Linked DNA regions of Cricetulus griseus. The protein of the gene in region 3 interacts with the protein of the main gene of each other region in a biochemical or structural test. Links are inferred from orthologs where the notes say so. Each region holds a gene or a part of one and is shown on either strand. Other genes may lie near its edges.

The links. The genes of interacting proteins can lie anywhere in the genome.
Region 1: of the proteins of Sp1 (region 3) and Mapk1, one has a biochemical effect on the other in vitro, tested with the Homo sapiens proteins (2 studies listed by BioGRID). The link is inferred for Cricetulus griseus from reciprocal best matches to the Homo sapiens genes SP1 and MAPK1.
Region 2: the proteins of Sp1 (region 3) and Ddx5 form a complex in vitro, tested with the Homo sapiens proteins (2 studies listed by BioGRID). The link is inferred for Cricetulus griseus from reciprocal best matches to the Homo sapiens genes SP1 and DDX5.
Region 4: the proteins of Sp1 (region 3) and Ccna2 form a complex in vitro, tested with the Homo sapiens proteins (2 studies listed by BioGRID). The link is inferred for Cricetulus griseus from reciprocal best matches to the Homo sapiens genes SP1 and CCNA2.

The regions. Positions count from the first base shown.
Region 1 is NC_048597.1:72,356,576-72,361,451, reverse strand, and holds the start of Mapk1 (mitogen-activated protein kinase 1), read left to right. Parts: upstream 1-1,792; 5' UTR 1,793-2,007; coding exon 2,008-2,120; intron 2,121-4,876. UniProt on the Homo sapiens protein: Serine/threonine kinase which acts as an essential component of the MAP kinase signal transduction pathway. MAPK1/ERK2 and MAPK3/ERK1 are the 2 MAPKs which play an important role in the MAPK/ERK cascade.
Region 2 is NC_048600.1:119,731,986-119,736,753, reverse strand, and holds the start of Ddx5 (probable ATP-dependent RNA helicase DDX5), read left to right. Parts: upstream 1-1,684; 5' UTR 1,685-1,699; intron 1,700-1,845; exon of another isoform or gene 1,846-1,861; intron 1,862-2,167; exon of another isoform or gene 2,168-2,210; 5' UTR 2,211-2,351; coding exon 2,352-2,395; intron 2,396-3,567; coding exon 3,568-3,733; intron 3,734-4,341; coding exon 4,342-4,438; intron 4,439-4,527; coding exon 4,528-4,661; intron 4,662-4,756; coding exon 4,757-4,768. Other genes in the region: Cep95 (centrosomal protein of 95 kDa), read right to left, coding at 1-102, 1,304-1,322. UniProt on the Homo sapiens protein: Involved in the alternative regulation of pre-mRNA splicing; its RNA helicase activity is necessary for increasing tau exon 10 inclusion and occurs in a RBM4-dependent manner. Binds to the tau pre-mRNA in the stem-loop region downstream of exon 10.
Region 3 is NC_048595.1:398,783,438-398,788,063, forward strand, and holds the start of Sp1 (transcription factor Sp1), read left to right. Parts: upstream 1-1,696; 5' UTR 1,697-1,944; coding exon 1,945-1,951; intron 1,952-2,387; exon of another isoform or gene 2,388-2,524; intron 2,525-3,662; coding exon 3,663-3,820; intron 3,821-4,106; coding exon 4,107-4,626. UniProt on the Homo sapiens protein: Transcription factor that can activate or repress transcription in response to physiological and pathological stimuli.
Region 4 is NW_023276806.1:113,096,363-113,101,006, reverse strand, and holds the start of Ccna2 (cyclin-A2), read right to left. Parts: upstream 3,085-4,644; 5' UTR 2,953-3,084; coding exon 2,767-2,952; intron 2,097-2,766; coding exon 1,853-2,096; intron 128-1,852; coding exon 15-127; intron 1-14. UniProt on the Homo sapiens protein: Cyclin which controls both the G1/S and the G2/M transition phases of the cell cycle. Functions through the formation of specific serine/threonine protein kinase holoenzyme complexes with the cyclin-dependent protein kinases CDK1 or CDK2.

The sequences.
Region 1 (4,876 bases), on a different chromosome or scaffold from region 3:
CTTTTTATGTTGGTTAATGTGGTTTTAATTTCATGGTACTATCCATTTATCCTGTTCTTTAAAAAAATATCTTAATAGAGCGATGGTATTGTCTTCTAAAAAGGATTCTGCTGAGTGGCCTAATACATTTTGAAAAACTTTTGTTTTTGTTTTCCGAGACAAGGTTTCTCTATATAATAGTCATGGTTGTCCTGGAACTAGCTCTGTAGACCAGGCTGGCCTTGAATTCTCAGAGATCTGCCTGCCTCTGCCTCCCAAGTCATGAGATTAAAGGTATGTGCCGCCACCACTGCCCGGCTTGAAGGACTAATTTTAAATTCTAGTGCTTTGTTTCTTTTTCCCCTGCAGGATTTTGTTCCTTTAGTGTTGCAAAAAGAATCAAAGACCTGCTACAGGCTAAGCATGCACTCTACTGAGGGACACCTCCAGTTCCTCTCTTTATTTTTAAACATTTACCTTTTTTTTATCTTTAAGATTGCCTTTAAGATCTTTATTGATGTCTAAGATCTCATTTGCTGGCCACAGAGGAGTCTGCGTCCAGGGACGACAGGGTAGTAATGCCTGAGAGACAAACTGTGTCATTCACTATCTTACCATTGCTCTCCTTGGCACCCACCTACTTTAAGATTACAATTTTCTTCGGGTTCATTCGTGTTTCTGACTGGTTCTGACCCACAACTTGTTCAGATGTTTCAGCCATTCTAACTGTGCTATATTTCAGTACGCCCATCTGGGTTTCTGCTCATCTGTACCAAGCTGGTGTTGTGTGACAAAACACTTCTTGAGAAGACACAATACACACCTAGTCACTACAGATGAGTATGGATACCAGCAAAGTTGAAGAGTGTCCTCCAGCTATTTAAGTTGGTCTAGACCTCTTCCAGGCAGGAGGCAGGAGGCTGATTTCTGCTTCTTCTAAGCAGTTTGGCTGAGTCTTCTTTGCAGCTCCGTGGAGTTCATCGAACAGGGATTCTCAACTTTTATTGCTTACTCCAGCAAGGAGTAACCCGGTGAATCTGGTCAGTTTCAAGGACTCCCAAAGTTCCTTTGTGCCGTTTACTTTCCTGTTTAAGGAGTTTCTCTGCAGGATAGAATGTTTCAATCTCGCAGGAAACGGTTACACAACACCTGGGTCCAGTCCCTGGATTTCAGTCTTTCTCCAGCGTCCTCACCCACAACTCTGTAAACCTTCCCTCCAGTTTTTAATTGTTCACAGCACTTAGTTAAGTGAGCATCGTATTTGTCTGTCTCTTCACCCTAGAAGGGAGAAGTATTCAGCAAATCTTCTTGAACAAACCTCTAATTAGGGGATTCAATGCCTTGTGTTTTGGTTTCCACTTATGTCTCACACTTTTTAGGTGTGAAAATATCTTTCTGAGTCTGGGTCATGCTTTTTGGTTTCTGTCCCAGTTTGGCAGTCTAAGTTCATTAGTGTGAGGGCCACGGATTCCCAGAGGCCTGTCTCAGGGGTCCATTGCTTGGTGTATGCTGAGTCCTCCGGTCTCACGCCAAGTGCCTGGTTCCACATGAGTTCGTCCTGGGCACCGCACAGCGGTCGGACACACTGTGGGGTCGTTACGCCCAGGTTTCCACCAGGCTTTCAAGAGCCACCAAACAAACTGAACGCCCGGTTCTCCAAACGCACGTGACGGCCCTCCCCCGCAGCCGCAGTGCTCCTGCCTCAGTTCGCTGCTTCCGCCGGCCCTCGAGACCCCGCCCAGCGCCGCGAGGAGCCAATCAGCGCTCACGCCCTTGACTCCGCCCCAGCGCCCCTCGACGCCAGCCCCTCCCTCCTCCCGCTCGCTGCCCGCCCGTCAGGCAGGAAGGCAGGCAGTGGTTCACTGGCGGTCAGTTCTTTGCTCTGTGTTGTCTTCGTTCCGCGTTCCCGGTCGCGGGCGGCGGCGGCTACACGGGTGGCAGCGCGGTCCCTGCGGGAGGCGCTGCACAAGCCGAGCGGCGGCCGCGAAGCGTCGAGCCCAGCGCGGCGGCGGCGACTAGGCAGCCAACATGGCGGCGGCGGCGGCGGCGGGCCCGGAGATGGTCCGCGGGCAGGTGTTCGACGTGGGGCCGCGCTACACCAACCTCTCGTACATCGGAGAGGGCGCCTACGGCATGGTTTGGTGAGTGTCTACTCCGGTTTGCAAGCTCGGCCTCACCCGGTCACCCCTGCCTGTGCCCCTGGCTGTTCTGGACGCAGCCGCGGCCCTTCCCGCGCCTTGGCCTCGCGTTCTGCAGCGACCTGGACCCCTGACTCCTCTTTGGTCCACAATCACGGAGCCCGTCGAGGCTTAGTTGTTGCTGGGGTGCTTCCTGGGCTGCCCCTCGTTTGCCGTTGGAGGGGCACCCCACACTGAGGTCAGGACCCGAGGACTTGGTCTCAAGCTCGTACTTTGGAGTCTTCTCCCTTGGGACGGGAACGGAAGTGCACCGTGTCCCCTAATTTATGGCATTATAGCCGCCTTCTTTGACATTAGATCGTAAAACCAGGAATTCCATCACAGGCTTGTCGGTGGTGGTGGAGGCGGCCGTGGTTTTGCAAGCGAGAATCCTCGGCTTGTGTGCTGAACACCAAAATATTTTTCTTCCCTTCCTTGTGTATACGTGAACAGCTTTCACAAAATATCTTCAGTGGAGCTAATGATGCGTTCCAACTTAGGCTTTCTAAAAAGCATTAATGACACCAGCGTTGGTTGTGAGGATATTTAAATCTTGAAGTTTCAAAATGGATGTAAATATCGTTGCGTTGCAGGAAGGATAAGCTAGCATCACTCTTAAAGAGTTATTAAGATGTATTTGGAATTGGGCCTAATTTGACTTTAACTCCTTCGTTACCATCGAGTATTTTCAGACCTAATTTTGCATGGTCACTTGTAGGATTTCTCACCTGATTGTGGAATGATGAAGTGTGTTGTTTTTACTGGAACAAGTATTTGTGTTTTGTACTGAAAACTTGTGGGAGTAGGTTTTCTTACCCCTAAATTTGTGTCTTTTGTGCTAAATGAAGAAAACTAATTTATTGAAGGTCTCTGAGATACTCTGCTATCCGAATAGTTTAATTTTGTCTGGATAGCCATCTTGAGGAAAAAGATACCCTCTTTCAGATAAGGTATAGAAAGGAAGTCCTTTCCCAAGGGCGAAGGACTAGAACCAGGCTCTGATTATAGACAGATCCTGTTTCAAATGCTGCAGCTCTTCAGTCATTACACATGCCTTTCTTTAATGTTAGTAATAATCTTGGAACTTTAGCATATTTTCCTGATGAGCAAGTCTATTTCAGAAATGCATTCAAATTTGAATGGTCATAATTTTAGAAATGGTAGGAAAGACGTGTTTTCCACCAACTGTCTTAACTAGATAGAATAATTAACGTTCTTTTTAAAAAGACTCACAGTGTACAACTATGAAGATAAAGGTGAACTGGTCTTGGGAGTCAAAACAAATTAAATTAGGTCACAATTAAAGACTTATAAAGGAGTACTTAAAAAAGTACTTCCCCTTCACATCTGTCTTGCACATATTGCTGCTCTTGTACCTGCATGCCAGTAACTCTCTTATTATACTGAAGATTGCCAGTTATAGTTTCATTTATTTTAAAAACTAGCTTATTTTAAATAGGCACAAAAATTGAGGATATGTCATTTGGACTCCCCACAACCACCTCTGTTTGATAAGATGGATTATTTAGATTCTGGTGCTATTGCTGCTGTGGAGTTACTTAACCTTTGAAGTTTACAGCTGCTGTGCAAAGTTCTCTTTAAAATTCAAATTTTAGGGGCTGGGGAGATGACTCAGCAGTGAAGAGCAGTTGCAGCTCTGGGTTCTAGTCCCAGTACCCACCTGCAAGCTCACAACTGTCAGTAACTCCAGTTCTAGAGGATCAGATGTTCCTTAGACACAAATTTGAGGGAAATACCCATATTTGTGAAATAAATTAAATTTAAAAATACAAATTTTAATTTTAAGAAAAGTGTAGACCAGGTGGTGGTGGCGGCATACACCTCTAATCCCAGGAGGCGAGGCAGAGGCATGTGTTCTGTGAGTTCAGGCCAGCCTGGTCTACAAAGGGAGTGCCAGGACAGGCTCCAAAGCTACACAGAGAAACTCTGTCTCAAAAAAAAAAAACAAACAAATAAAAAATGCAGGTACAATTGGAATTTGAATCCTGGATCCATCCTTTTATCTCCAGGTTGATAACATCTTAGTATTTGTAGAATATTTTTAATTATAGGTCATTAGCATTTGATCATTAGCTGGGTTTATGGAGAACATCTTGACCTTAAATGCCTGCTTGAATAGTTGTGATCTTTTAAAAAGCTAGGCTTAACAATCAAGACCATCTTCAGATCCCAGCATCTACATTAGGTGACCCTCTGACTTCCAAGGGCATCTGCACATATGTGGTTCAAAGAAAACTCATATGTACATAAACATACTAAAAAAATAATTTTAAAAACCATGAAAAAATGTTTAAGGGATTTTCAGCTATCCTTTAGCAGGGTTTTCCCTAAAGTAGTTCATTGGAAATTGTGCCTATTTTGGTTAGATTCCCCTTCCTTATGTAGAAGACAAAAAGATAAGATTGGGTGGTGGGTGCTCAGCTTAGTTCCTACTGGAATTCAGTTCCTAACAGCCAGTAACTCCAGCTCCAGGTAATCTGATGCCTCTGACCTCTTGTGGGAACCTGTGTGTATGCACATATATGCATATATATGAACACACATAATAAAAATGTTTTTTTTTTTTTAAAGAAAAGGCTGGGTTTTGAGATGGATGTTTAAAAGTAGGTATAATTTTGATAGATAGTAGGGACAAGTAATAGTCTGAGCTGTTGAGTCTAATCTTAGAAAACTGGGTGAAAACTGTAGAGGACTCGTAA
Region 2 (4,768 bases), on a different chromosome or scaffold from region 3:
GATAAAGCGCAATAAAAACATTAGCATCACAGTCTTCAAGTTCATGTATCCTCAGGTGTATGTGACATTTAAAAAGAAGGTTATTGGCCATTTGTACCCATTCTGTTGGGGAAGAAGGGAGGGGGGAATCAGTCTTCAATAGCAATAGAAAAAGTATATACATTAAAAACTGTAGAAGATAAGGGCTTTTGTCATGTAATTGCAAATACTCAACTGGAAAATAATTTTCAAAAGATGTTCTTAATTTCCTGGGATGACTTCCAGTGCTAGCTTCTACACAGTCAAAACTATTGTGTCAGTCCAACTTTCACTTTTGCAAGCTAAGATCCCATCTACCAGTATCTTTGTAGTACTTACATAAAGGTGTTTTTAGTTACACTTATAGATGAGCAGGGATGTTTTAAGATAGTTGTAAATGATAATCTGAAGTTGCCTGAATCTGACCTAGGTGGCTCCAAATTCCCAATAGTTTTATGCAATTATCTTGTGTAAGTTAAGATCTCTTGGTGCCCAAACAAGTGATTAATTGAGGCTATTAGAAACTGGAATAACGACCACACCAACACTAATGCAATTGTTTTCTTTTTATTGTATTTGCTGTATAAGGAGGTAAATATGAGGAAAACACAAACACAGAGCTAGCTCTGAACTAGCACATTAATACTGCTCAAGTTCTCCATTTTTTAAAAAACGGTTCTTGCCCTCCCCTATATAGTGCAAGACCAAGTTTAAGGGTTTCAGCAATAATCCGAAAGCTTGAAACACCTGTATCCTAAAATGATTGGTTATTAAAGGCAAGGCACTTTAGAACCAAGCCATGACAACCATTTTGTATGCTGTCCTGGGGAGGAGGCAAGGCGTCCTAGACAACCGAATCAATTGGCTTTTCAAAGGCAGTATTAGACAAAGCCGTTTACTCTAGAGGACATCAAAAGCTCTTATGAGTGCGATGCCTCAAAAAAAAAAAAAAATCAATACAGAAGAACATTCCGCCTTAGTCCCTACAAAGCAAAAGAGGAGACACAGCCTGTGTCTAATGTCCCAGAGAAGGGTCCTTTACTGCTCTGTAAAGACAGGATGCGGGTGTCCCAGCCTCGCCAGCGAACCGAACCCCTCGGCCACATCCCAATTGTCCGTTCCACGACTAGACCCTAAATTCAGAGGCGCCCGCCCACTCCCCCGCGATGGCCACTACTGTGCGACAGTCACGAGCCTCTCCAGAAGCCCAGACACGGTTCGGGTCGGCCCGCGGCCAGCTGGATGCCGCAGGGCGCAAACACTAGGGCTCCAGGCCGAGACTCACCAGCCTCTGAGCTGGCCATACTGCCAAGAAAGGTCGCGGCCGGACTCCGAGACGAGAGCGAGCGAGCGAGGGAGCGAGCGCTGGCGACGGTGTCCTGCAAGGGCCGGGCCGGGCCGGGCGGGGCGGGGGGGCCGAGCCGGGGAGGAGGGGGTAGGAACCAGAGAGCCGGGAAGGAGGGCTGGAAGAGGGCGGGACGTTAAAACGGCTTCTCGCCGCTGATTGGTCATCGGAGAAGCACTTCCTTTCGCGGCACGCGCTTCGGCGGCGGTTTGCGGGCTCTAGATACCATTCCCCGCGGGCCCGATCCCGCTTGAGGGCTCTCAGCTCGGCCGGCCAGGCAGCCGGGTCACCCAGCAGCCCGGCCGCTCTCCCCGGGGCCTCGGAGCCGCGCTTCCGGTGAGTCTGCGGGAAGGTATTCCTCCGCCGAGGCCAAGCGGAGAAGTAGTGCGGCCCGCCTAGCCCTGAGGTGCAACCACGTGACAACGGCAGGCTCCACCTCCCCGGCTTCTTCGGTCATGGGCGTGGGGGAGCCTGTGGAGACGTAAACATCTTCTTCAGGTGGAGACGACGGGCTGGCTGGCTGGTGCGGGCCATTGTAATGGCCGGCTGGCCGCGGGGAAGCCACACGAGTGCGGGGCGAGGCGCCCTAGCGGTGTCACCCCGCCGGGAAGGGGGTCATAAACGGGCGCCTGTGAGGGAGCGCCCGCGGGGGGAGGGGCGCGGACATGGCGGATTCCCGAACGCCAGCGGGCGTTGAGGCCTCCCGCCGGGGGGAGGGGGGTGGGGCGATGAGGTCATAGAGCGGCTCCCAGCATCCTCTGCGGCGAGGAGGCGGTCCAGACTATAAAAGCGGCCGCCGGGACGCAGCCGGCACCTCATTCATTTCCCTCGGCCCTCGGGTTTACAGCTCCGGCTTCGTCACCGCCCGTCCCTCCGCCGGTGACGCCCCCGCAAAGGCTTCGCCGTCGCCGAGGCCTCCTCTCAGCGACTCGTCGCGACTGGGTTGTCCTTCACTGGGTCTTTCCCGCTCACCGCAACCATTGACGCCATGTCGAGTTACTCCAGCGACCGAGACCGCGGCCGGGATCGAGGGTGAGTGTGACAAGGGACCTGTCAGGCTAGCGGGTGGGGGATGGGCAGCCGGCCGAGCGAGCGAGCGGGCGGGCGGGCGGCGCTCGGGTTTCCAACCGACCGACCCTGGGGTTTTCAGGAAGGAGGCCTTGAGGGTTTTTATTTTTGTTGTTGTTATCCCAGCTGATTAAAAGACGTTAGGGGCGGCGCTCCCAGGAGTTGGGCTCCGCCTGGCTTTTTTTTTGGTTTGGGAGGCTCGGGTCCCGTGGCGACCCCGCGGCTGTCGCGGGGATCTCCGAGGAGGGTTGTAGTGTAGGACGAGGAAGCGCCGCGCCTTTGAGGCGGCTCCGAGGCGTTGTTCGGTGCAACCTTCCGGCGGGTGTTTTGGGGGCCCCCGGTGTTACCGGGGAGCGGAGGGGTCGCTTTCGAGGCCATCCGTGCCGTGGAGGGTGGCCGACGTCGGCGGGTTGAGCCATGTGGCCGAGCGGCGGCCACAAAATGCCGGCCTCGGACATGGCGGCGGCGCCTTTGTTACCCCGCCCGGCAGAGGCGCTCAAAATGGCAGCGTCGAGAAAATGTGGCGCAGAGAGAAATGCGAGACAAAGAAGGAAGCGCCGCCCCAGCGGGAACGCAGCCCGGCCCGGGACTCCTCCCCCGGTTGTCGCCGGCTCCTCCTCTTTTTTTTTTTTTTTCCTTCCCCTCGCGTTATGTAATTTTGCTACCTTGATTAGCTGCGGTTCGCGGCGAGTTCGCCCCTTGCTGCCCTACCCGCAACACCTTCCTCGTTCACCTGCCCACATCGCCTGCTCGGCGCCGTTTTCTTTAAGAATCAGTTCCTTTGGTCGGAAACAGTGGCAAAAATAACCTTGTTAAGCTCCTCCCTTCTTGCCCAGCTCCTAATTCCTAAGCCCTGTGGGGAGGGTATATGGAGCCTCAGGCTGTTATCTGTCCTTGTAATCTGAACTTCAGATGTTTGGGCAGCCGACCTGGTAAATCCAAGCTGCTTGTTTGGCATCAATAGTGTGTGCTTGGGACTATAGTAAAAATATATTGTGCCAGTTGTTGCTGTCTAGAATTGACAATTGGGAGGGATTCCAGAAATGCACTTTGGCTTTATATCAAAAGACATTAAATAAAATGTGAGTGCAAACATAACAGAACTTTTTTACAATGTGGCTTCCCCCCCCCTGTAGATTTGGTGCACCAAGATTCGGAGGGAGCAGAACAGGACCCCTCTCTGGAAAGAAGTTTGGAAATCCTGGGGAGAAACTAGTTAAAAAGAAGTGGAATCTGGATGAGCTGCCCAAATTTGAGAAGAATTTTTATCAGGAACACCCTGATTTGGCAAGACGCACCGCAGTGAGTGATTTAATGTGGCTTTTACTGGCTAACAGCTTCTACTCAATTGGATTGAAGCTGACAGGTGCCTTGCAAATGTCTCGAATTCAAATTATTATTTGTGGTGTGGTTTCCAAATGTGTCCATTGAATCTAGTGTAAAAATTATTTGAGCCAGGCGCTGGTGGAGCACGCCTTTAATCCCAGTAATCGGGAGATAGAGGCAGGCTCAAACAATACAGAGAAGCCCTGTCTCGAAGCACCAGAGGGTAAAAAAAAAAAAAATGTGTATTGGCCAGGTGTTATGGCACTAGTCTTTAATTCCCATCACTGGGGAGACAGGCAAGCCAATCAGCCTATTTGGGCTACATAGTGAGACTTTTTGGTTTTCGAGACAGGGTTTCTCTGTGTAGCTTTAGAGCCTATCTTGGCACTCGATCTAGAGACCAGACTGGCCTCAAACTCAGAGATCTGCCTGCCTCTGTCTCCCGAGTGCTAGGATTAAAGGTGTGCACCACTAAGGCCCTGCCCTAGGTGAGTGTTTTAAGTACATAAAAATTGCTGCTGAGCTGTAGGGGACTTGTCAGTGCAGTTGGCTGAGGTTTGAGACTGGGGTCATTTGTTTTTCAGCAAGAGGTAGATACATACAGAAGAAGCAAGGAAATTACAGTTCGGGGTCACAACTGTCCAAAGCCTGTTCTGAATTTTTATGAAGCAAACTTCCCTGGTAAGGACTAATTTTCATCTCAATTCTTTTCATTTGTTCCCTCTTCTTGCGTAGGGTTTTTGCTAAAAATGGTATTATTGGTTTTACAGCAAATGTCATGGATGTGATTGCAAGGCAGAATTTCACTGAACCCACTGCTATTCAAGCTCAGGGCTGGCCAGTTGCTCTAAGTGGATTGGATATGGTTGGAGTAGCTCAGACTGGATCTGGGAAAACATTATCTGTAAGTTTAGGGAAACTTGATACATTCTGGGAGTGGTGACCTGATAATCTTTCATTTTTAATAAAATTTCTGTTTTCACGCTTCCCCTCCAACAGTATTTGCTGCCT
Region 3 (4,626 bases):
ATCTTGGGCTCTTGGGCATGCTATTTCCCAGGTTCAACCTTTTTTTTTCCCTACATATTTCTGATAGTTAATTTTTTGTTGTTATTTTTGTTTTTCGATACAGGGTTTCTCTGTAGACTAGGCTGGTCTCGAAATCACAGTGATCTGCCTGCCTCTGTCTCCAGAGTGCTGGGATTAAAGGCGTGTTCCACCAACGCCTTGATAGTTAATTTTTTATCTTAATTTTCATTGTTGTTGTTTTGAGACAGGACCTTTCTGCATATAGAGCTCATTATTTAGACTAGGTAGGCCTCGAATTCAGAGTTCCTCCTGCTTTTGCCTTCCAAGTGCTAGAATTAAAGGTATGGGCCACCATGTCTGACAATATTTTTCTTATGAGCTTGACATAAGTAGTACTAAATGCTTATCTAACTGGGACATCCAGCACAGATAACTGAGCTGTCACTTATTTTTTCCTAGGCCACCTCAGAGGCAGCAGATACCTCAGTTTCTATCTTCAAAGTGCTTTAAGCTGTCTAAAGGAGAATTCAGCTAGTAGTATTCACTGTAAGTGCTAAAGGTTTTTGGAGGCAAAATGGAAGCCGAGGATTGAAGTGCCTGGGGCAAAATCGTGAACCTTTGTGATTGCAAAAGGAAGTAACTAGGTTACTGTGCTTTCTGCTGAAGCGGTGTTTACGAGTAACGAAGTGAAAAGGGAGTAGTTTAGGAGAGCTTTGATCCCGGAAGTTTTCTAGTCAGTCTCAAAGAGTTCTGGGCCCTCGACTTAGCGCGTTCGGGACAGCTTAAGAAAATGGCGTTTGCTAGAGTTTCCCGAAAGCCTTCCATATTGGTGAGCTCAGAACTGACTGAGCTCTCGAGGGCCGTCACCAAGCTCTCGTCCCGCCCGCCGCCGCAGGGCTTCCACCCACGGCCAGGGGGAGCCGCCCACCCACCCCTGCAGGGGTGGGATTCGAGAGGGTGTCGGGTGCGAGATGTGAAAACTGGAGCGATCCCGTGTGGCGAAACACGCGGCGCTCGCCCGCCTCGGCAGGGACACTTGTAGAGCTGCAGGGCTCAGCTGGAGTGTACAACCTAACGACGTAAGGAAGTCTCCCGAGCAGGGCCAACATGGCGACGAACTCCTTTTGGCACAGCCCCTGTTCCCTCCTCACGATGGGCGGCCCCACAAACGACCATTGGCCAAGCTAGAGGCGGTGCCAGGGCTTTTTCTTCCCCTCATTGGCCTGAGTATCTGAGGAGGAAGCCAGGTCTCCTCTCCCCATTCCAAGTTCCAGCCTTCGCCTTTTATTCGGCGTCTAATTGGCTGTGAGCTCATGTCAATATGCATCCTGTTCCGGATCGTCTCAGTTATTGACCAATCAGAACTTTCTTAACTGCCCGCCTGAATCCTGATTGGTTTAGATAGCTTGATCCTATCCCATTCCGGCCTATTTCTTACTCTCCTACTAAACGGACTTTGCCCCGGCATGCTCAAGATTCTAATTGGTCCTTGTCCTGTCACTCCTTCCTAAGCTCGTCCTATCACCACCGTTCACGGAGCCCGCCCGGCGAATCACTGGTTTCTCTCCAAGTCGATCTTCCTTATGTCCCGCCCACTCTCACTTCCTGAAGCTTTTATTGGCTGTTAGAGCTGAGAGGGCGGCCTTTTAAGGCGGACACCAGCACGCAAGTTGGTCTTACCCGCCTTTGCGAGGGAACGAGTCTTCCCATTGGGTCGTCTGCCCGCCTTTCTACTGCAAGGCTCTCCTTTCTCCCTCCTTCATTGGGCGGGGCAGCAGATAAGGGGCGGAGACTAGGCCGGGCTTGTGGCGCGCTGCTCCCTCCTCCTTACCCCCCCTCCCTGTCCGGTCCGGGTTCGCTTGCCTCGTCAGCGTCCGCGTTTTTCCTGGCCCCCCCCAACCCCCCCGGACAGGACCCCCTTGAGCTCGCCCCTCAGCTGCCACCATGAGCGGTAAGGATGAGTCCACTCCATGCCTAGGGGTGGGAGGGGAGTGAGGGGGCGCGCGCGAGGGCCGACCGGGCGGTCCCCGCTGTGAGGGGGGGCGGGCGGGAGGCGGCGGCGGCGGCCTTGGTCCCGCCCGGGGCGGAGGGAAGGGAGGGAGAAGGGGCAGTCGCGGGGCCTCGGAGGAGGAGGGGGATGGGCCACCCGCCCCGGGGGAGGGGGCAGCGTGGCCTCGCCCGCCCCCTGCCCGCCCCGGCCACGGGGGACGGGCCTTACCCCCCACTACTCGGCCTGCCGCCTGAGGCTCCTCCCGTCGGGGGCTGGCGCCGCGGGGGCGGCCCGACCAGTGCAGGCCCCGCCTGGGCCAACCGCCTCCCCGGTCCGCCCTCCGGTCACTGCCTGCCCCAGGCCCTCCCCCGCACCCCCGAACATTTCCCTTCCCCCATCTGACCCGCCCTTTCCACGCCCCTCACCCCGAAAACGCCCCTTCCTTCTAAGGCCCGCCCTCTCAGCCCCAAACCTGGGTTCTAAGCCCTAGACCACTTTAGCCCCTTACCTGTATCCTCAGAAGTGTCCCTATCGGTACTTATGATGTACTCTGTCTGTTCCTGTTTTTATTTATTTAGCTTTACACTTGGTCTTTCTCCATCTCTCTTAATCCTAATTTTAGCACATTTTTCCATCCAACCACATGTTGGGTCTCTTCTTCCTCCCAGAATGCTTTTTTTTTTTTACTTTTGAGACAGGGTCTGTGTGGTACTATGAAAACCAGGCTGGCCTTAAACTTTTAGCCATCCTCATGCCTCTTCCTCCTGAGTGCTGAGATTACAGAGTGTGCCATGCCAACACTAGGGGCAACTAGTATTCCTGAGATACTGCCCTCAAATTCCCTTTTTCAGAAATGCTATTTGTCTTGTTTAAGGCCAGGTCTCACTCTAGTCCAGATAGACTTAGAACTGATGAACAGGTGTGAGTCACCATGCCTGGCTTCCAAAGCACTTTTTTGGGGGGTGGGGGTGGGGATGGGGGTTTGAGACACGGTTTCTCTGTGGCTTTGAAGGCTGTCCTGGAATTCACTCTGCAGACTAGGCTGGCCTTGAAGTCACAGAGATCTGCCTGCCTCCGCCTCCTAAGTGCTGGGATTAAAGGTGTGTGCCTTCACTGCTGCCACCACCACCATCCAGCTCGAAAGCGCTTTCTTTTTGGTTTTTTAAGACAGGGTTTCCCTGTGGCTTTGGAGGCTGTCCTGGAACTAGCTCTTGTAGACCAGGCTGGTCTCAAACTCAGAGTGATCCACCTGCCTCTGCCTACGGAGTGCTGGGATTAAAGGCGTGCGCCACCACTGCCCAGCCCAAAGCGCTTTTTGAATGGTTTTTGACTTTAATTTTGTACATGGGGAAATAGTGGCCCATCTTGGACACCATTGAGGCACATGCCTGTTCTGCATGCCTGGCATGAGATGCTGGCATCTCAACTGATGTAACTGAAAATTTCTTTGAACTCTTATTTCTCTTGCCTCCATGTCCCTCTTGCCTCCACTTCCAAATTCTGAGATTTCAGGCCTATCACCATATCTATATCTGGCCCTATTTCCTTTTTTACTCTGCTTTTAAACATTCTATTAGTCATTAGGCTGGTTATCAGAGCCTTATTTTAAACCTTTGGGTGATTTTTTTTCTCCTTCTTCCACTTTAAGTTATTGTTTTGTAATTATTTTTAGATCAAGATCACTCCATGGATGAAGTGACAGCCGTGAAGATTGAAAAAGGTGTTGGTGGCAATAACGGGGGTAACGGTAATGGTGGTGGTGCATCTTTTTCTCAGACTCGGAGCAGCAGCACAGGCAGTAGCAGCAGCAGTGGTGTCGGAGGAGGGCAGGTGAGTGATCAGTCAAAGGTGGGGAAGGTGTTGAGGGTGTAAATATTCTTAGAAAGTTCCTTAATCAAAAAGCTGGGAGAAAAAAAATACAGTAGTGAAGTACACACAGAAAGATAGATGATCTAGAGGGTCCCCAAATAAGAAAGTTGGAACAGTACACAAAAGTCAGCATTTTATTTCTGGTTTTTGCTCTTTATATGCCTGCATTGTTGCTGTTTGTCTGTTGAATACTGCCCCCTAGGCAGGCTATTGGGTGCCACTAACTCCTTTCCTCTCTTCTGGCCAGGAATCCCAGCCATCTCCTTTGGCTCTGCTGGCAGCAACCTGCAGCAGAATTGAGTCACCCAATGAGAACAGCAACAACTCCCAGGGTCCGAGTCAGTCAGGGGGCACAGGTGAACTTGACCTCACAGCCACACAACTTTCACAGGGTGCCAATGGCTGGCAGATCATCTCTTCCTCCTCTGGGGCTACCCCTACCTCAAAGGAACAGAGTGGCAACAGTACCAATGGCAGCAATGGCAGCGAGTCTTCCAAGAATCGTACAGTCTCTGGTGGGCAGTATGTTGTGGCTGCTACCCCCAACTTACAAAACCAGCAAGTTCTGACAGGTCTACCTGGAGTAATGCCTAATATTCAGTATCAAGTAATCCCACAGTTCCAGACTGTTGATGGGCAGCAGCTGCAGTTTGCTGCCACTGGGGCTCAAGTGCAGCAGGATGGTTCTGGTCAAATACAGATCATACCGGGTGCAAACCAACAGATCATCACAAATAGAGGAAGTGGGGGCAACATAATTGCTGCTA
Region 4 (4,644 bases), on a different chromosome or scaffold from region 3:
GAACAGAGCCTTACCTCCATTTCCCTAAGGTATGTGTGAATATCTTCATGATAGTCGGGTACTTCATTAACATTCACTGGCTTTTCGTCTTCTAAGACAATAGACATGTCCATAGCATGTGGTGATTCTGTGTATGATATTAAAACCAAACTAAAAAGACCATTCTGGCAAAGCAACACAGATCATATATATATGATATATATATATGATATATATATTAGAAAATAGTATCAATAGGCTACTAAGACTTAAAATTACCTTAAATATTATTTTCCACAAATGATGAATAGATGGTACAGTGGTTCTGTTAGGACAGAATACTTATTGTTTTGTCTTAAAAGAGATTATAGATCCCAGAGGCTGACATTCAAATCACAATCAGGGAGTAACAAGAGAATCAGCTAAATGCCGTATTAACAAACGTCAGTGTCAGTAAAGATAGCAAGTTTGTCACATGCATTCAAACAGACTAACTGTAATCTGTTAGGGGTGTGGTGTTTGTGAAAACAGAGTCTTGTTCTGTAGCCCAGGCTGGCAATCCTGCCTCAGTGTCCTGCATGTTAGTTACAGGCATGAATTACACTCACTAGTTATTAGATGTATATGAATTACACTCAGTTGTAATTTTTACCATTTAAATTATTTTTTGAGGTAAAGGATTTCCATTTTTTTCAGAGCACCTTGAGTTAAGAAAAAGCTACAAGATTTATATAAAAATAAATTATTTCTATACCCTTCTTCCCCACCAGTAGAACTAAATAAACTAAAGGGGGCTGGGGAAATGGCTTGGTACAGTGCCTGCTACACAAGCATGAAGATGTGGGTTGCCCAGAACCACACAGAAGCTAGATGTGGCATATCTGTAACCCTGAGACAGGGAAGGAAAGAGGGCTGAGAATAGCCAGTTTCCTGGAGCTTGATGGCCACCAGTCTAGCCAAACCAGTGACCTCCAATGAGACCTTTTTATCAAGAAATGAGATGGAAAAGTAGTTAAAGATATCCCAAAGTCAAGTACACCTCTGGTTTCCACACGTACCAGCCCCGAAAGCATACCCCTCCCCCTGACACACATAGCATAAGGTGGAGAGTGATAAATACCAACATCCTGATAGATAATTACTACACCTGTGGTCTCCACACAGTGAGATCACAACAGCAAAGCTTTCTGCAGCTGCTGCTCTGTCTTCCTTGTGCATTTGTGCCTGACCTGCACCAGATGAACATTCAAATTGATTTTAAAGGGGTGGCAGATACTATAATGCTTAAAACTGTAGCTTCAAGCAGCACTCTCAGGAGTGGCATGTTAAGTGAGTCATAAATACAACTGAAATTTATTCTCCAAACCAAACATTTATGAAGTCAGATTAAAATAACCATTTGAGATCTAATTAAAATTGATAGCTTGCAGTGCCCTTCCTGCCTGTTAAGGATGAGTTCTTTTTGAGGTCAGTAGGTCTGGGTATTAGCCATGAGATCTAAGATACCCTTCTAAGTCCAATGCAGTAATCCTAACCCACTGTGTTATGACCAGGGATGACAGTCTTAGCCGGGCGTGACCATGGCACTCAGAGAGAGGGGCTGCCTGGTCCACAAGTCTAGTTCCAAAACAGAACAGAAACCCTGTCTAGAAAAACAAAACAAAATGACATAGTCTTAAAACTAGAAGTATCACTAACTCAATGATGTAATTATTTTCTTAGTTTCATAAAGATCTTTAAAAATTACCAAGCAGGGTATGGAGTCATAGGCCTGTAATCTAGAATTTGAGACTGAGGCAGGATGATTTGAGTTCAAGACTAGCCATAATTACAGATTGAGACCCTGTCTCAAAAATAAAAAGCAAAACCTTACCAAAGCTACCATCCATTGGATAATCAAGAGGTACCAGTGGTTTTCTTGCTCCAGGTAAAGAGACAGCAGCATTAAAAGCCAGGGCATCTTCACACTGTGTTTCTTTATGTTCAGCTGGCATTTTCTGAGTCTCCTCTTCTTCATCCACATGAATAGTGAAGGCCGGCTGTTTACTGGTTGCTTTCCATGAAGGACCAACGGCGACATGTTCATCGTTTATAGAAAGGTCTTTAAGAGGTGCAACCTAAAAAGGATTTAAAAAGAAATTTGCCTTCTTGCTCCGCGCCCCTCAGCTTTTACTCCCAAATAACTCCGTTAGGAAAAATAAACTTAAGGTAAAGCCCAGATAAGTAGTAGCTTGAGTAATCCAAGATAAAGGTGAACCGGTTTGCCACAGCCATTACTACAAAGGCTATAAATAGGACTGATTGGAACTACAAACTTATCAAGGAATAAGTTTAGGGGAAAGTATTGATTCGCAACTTTAGCTCCAGGGTGGAGCAAACATACAGGTCTGGCTAAAATGGCGGATTTACCAAACAAAATATTGCTTTCTGTCCTTCCTTCCCTGAAGTAGAGGTAATCTGGGAAGCAGATGGTGAGGGGGAAGGGATCCCAAGGCAATGCCCGTCTTTAAAAGTGGAGGGAAAGGCACACAGCTGGGCGAAGTCGACACGCGGGGAGCATCGCTCGGTATGACCCCGGGCATTTTTAGGAATTAGTCTCCACTAGTGTTGAAGGGCAGCACACTCGGCAGGGCTGCTGGGGCTATTTGGTCCTAGAAACAAACTCCGGAACCACGCAGACTGCAGCCCGACTCCCACTAGAAAGCGCAGCGTGCTTTCAGGCCCTCTCGGCTGCTAAACCAGGCCGGCTCCCGCCCGGCCCTCCCACCGACCCCCGCGCCCTTTTACCCGCCGAGTCTTGAGTCTCTGCTGTGGCGCGTTTCCCCGCGCGTTCCCGGCCTTGAGGGCCGCCCGCGCCCGCGGCTGCTGGGCTGGCGCCACCTTCTCGGGGTTGACATTTTCCTGGTCTTCCTGCTGCAGCGAGACCAGGGCTGAGCCCGCCTCGCGACCCGACTGTCTCGAGCTGCCCGGCATCGCGGCTCCGGTCGGGACCCGTCGGCGGCAGAGCGTGCACTGCGCCCGCCGCTCCCGGCTGCGCGGGACCCTGGCGGCCGACGCGCGGAGCAGGCGCTGCGGGCGGCGGGGGGAGGAGCGAAGCCCAGGTGCCGCGAGCAGCGCGCCGGCCGCCGGCTGTTCGTGCAGTTCAAGTAGCCCGCGACTATTGAAATGGACCAATGAGGGCGCCCGGGGCATGTGACGTCACCAGAGCGCCGGGGCGCCGCGAGCTAAGGCCCGACGGGAACCGAGTTGGGCGGGCGCCGGAGGACGCGCCTGCGCGAGGAAGGGTGGGGTGGGCGCCAGCCTCCGGCGACTTCCCGCAGCGTAGCGCGTCTGTAACCCGGAGGCTCACAGGATCCCGCCCGAGCAGCCTGGCGGGCCTGACGAGCCCTCGGGCCTCAAAGTGACAGCGTTCAGGACTCCTAAAAGGAGTAACCACTTCCCTCGTCGCTGGGCGGAGCTTAGGAAGAGCGCACAGAACTCAGCTGACCGACCAGCTCACTTCCGAGGCTCCCTAGCAGAACACTCCTCCCTCCCTCCCCCCCCATCTCTCTCTCTCTGTCTCTGTCTGTCTGTGGTGCTGCCCATAGAACTCAGGAAACCTCTAGTGCTTTTACTGTTTATTTTTGCATCACATCTCCAGTATATATTTTTTGTTTGTTGTTGTTTGAGACAGGGTTTAAAAATGCAGTCCGGATGGTCCTATAACTCACAGACATCCGCCTGTCACTCACTGCCTCACCGGTTCTGGGATTGAAGGCTTGTGTCACTATGCCCAACATTCCAGTAAACTCCATTCTCCCCTCTCATAAGGGATTTAATCAATTTAGAATACCAACTGAAGCTGTTGTTGATAACCATTAAACGAAATGGTGTATTCCAAGAATTAGTTTTGTTTATCCTTGGTTGTGACATCCAACAAATAGCACACCACGAAGTTCCACGGACCCAAATAGATACTACATTTAGAAATAGAGTGCATGGTGGTACGTACCTTGAATCCCAGCTACATAGTGAGACGCTGTCTCAAAAAAAGAAAAAAAGTGTTCATATGAAAAACAGGGGCCTGGGTGTCCCAAGAAAGCTTCCAGAAAATATAAGAAAAAAATACTATGACCTTATTAAAGACCCAACATATGTGCCTTATTTAATATTTAAGAATTGCACGTAAAATATAACAATGTAATTATCACTTTCTGAAAATTTCATAACTTCTTTGAAAACAAGAAACAGAGATTTTCCATTATCTTTATAATATTTTTAAACTTTAAATACAATATTCTCTTGTAAATGAATAAAACTTCTGTTGCTTAAAGTCTTCTTCACCCCCCCCAAATATATAATAAAAAGGAATTTCATGGATACTAGTATAGGAAAATCTTAGAAGCCATCACTCTTCACTTAGATACTTTAAAGCTCAACTGGTTACATGTAGGACATATATCTGAGAGTCCCCCCTGTCTGAGTTCTGCTTACTTCTCTGGCCATAGTCTACAGCACTAAGCCAAATATTTCACAAACTGCAGGAGGATCATGTCATCAAGTAAGAACTGGAGTGTGAATCCATTCCAAATCCTAGAGGGGAAAAAAAAAACTCATTATTTCCACCTCATGATAACACAGAGGAATGGGGTACACATATAAGCTTGCCACAGCCTTATAAAATAC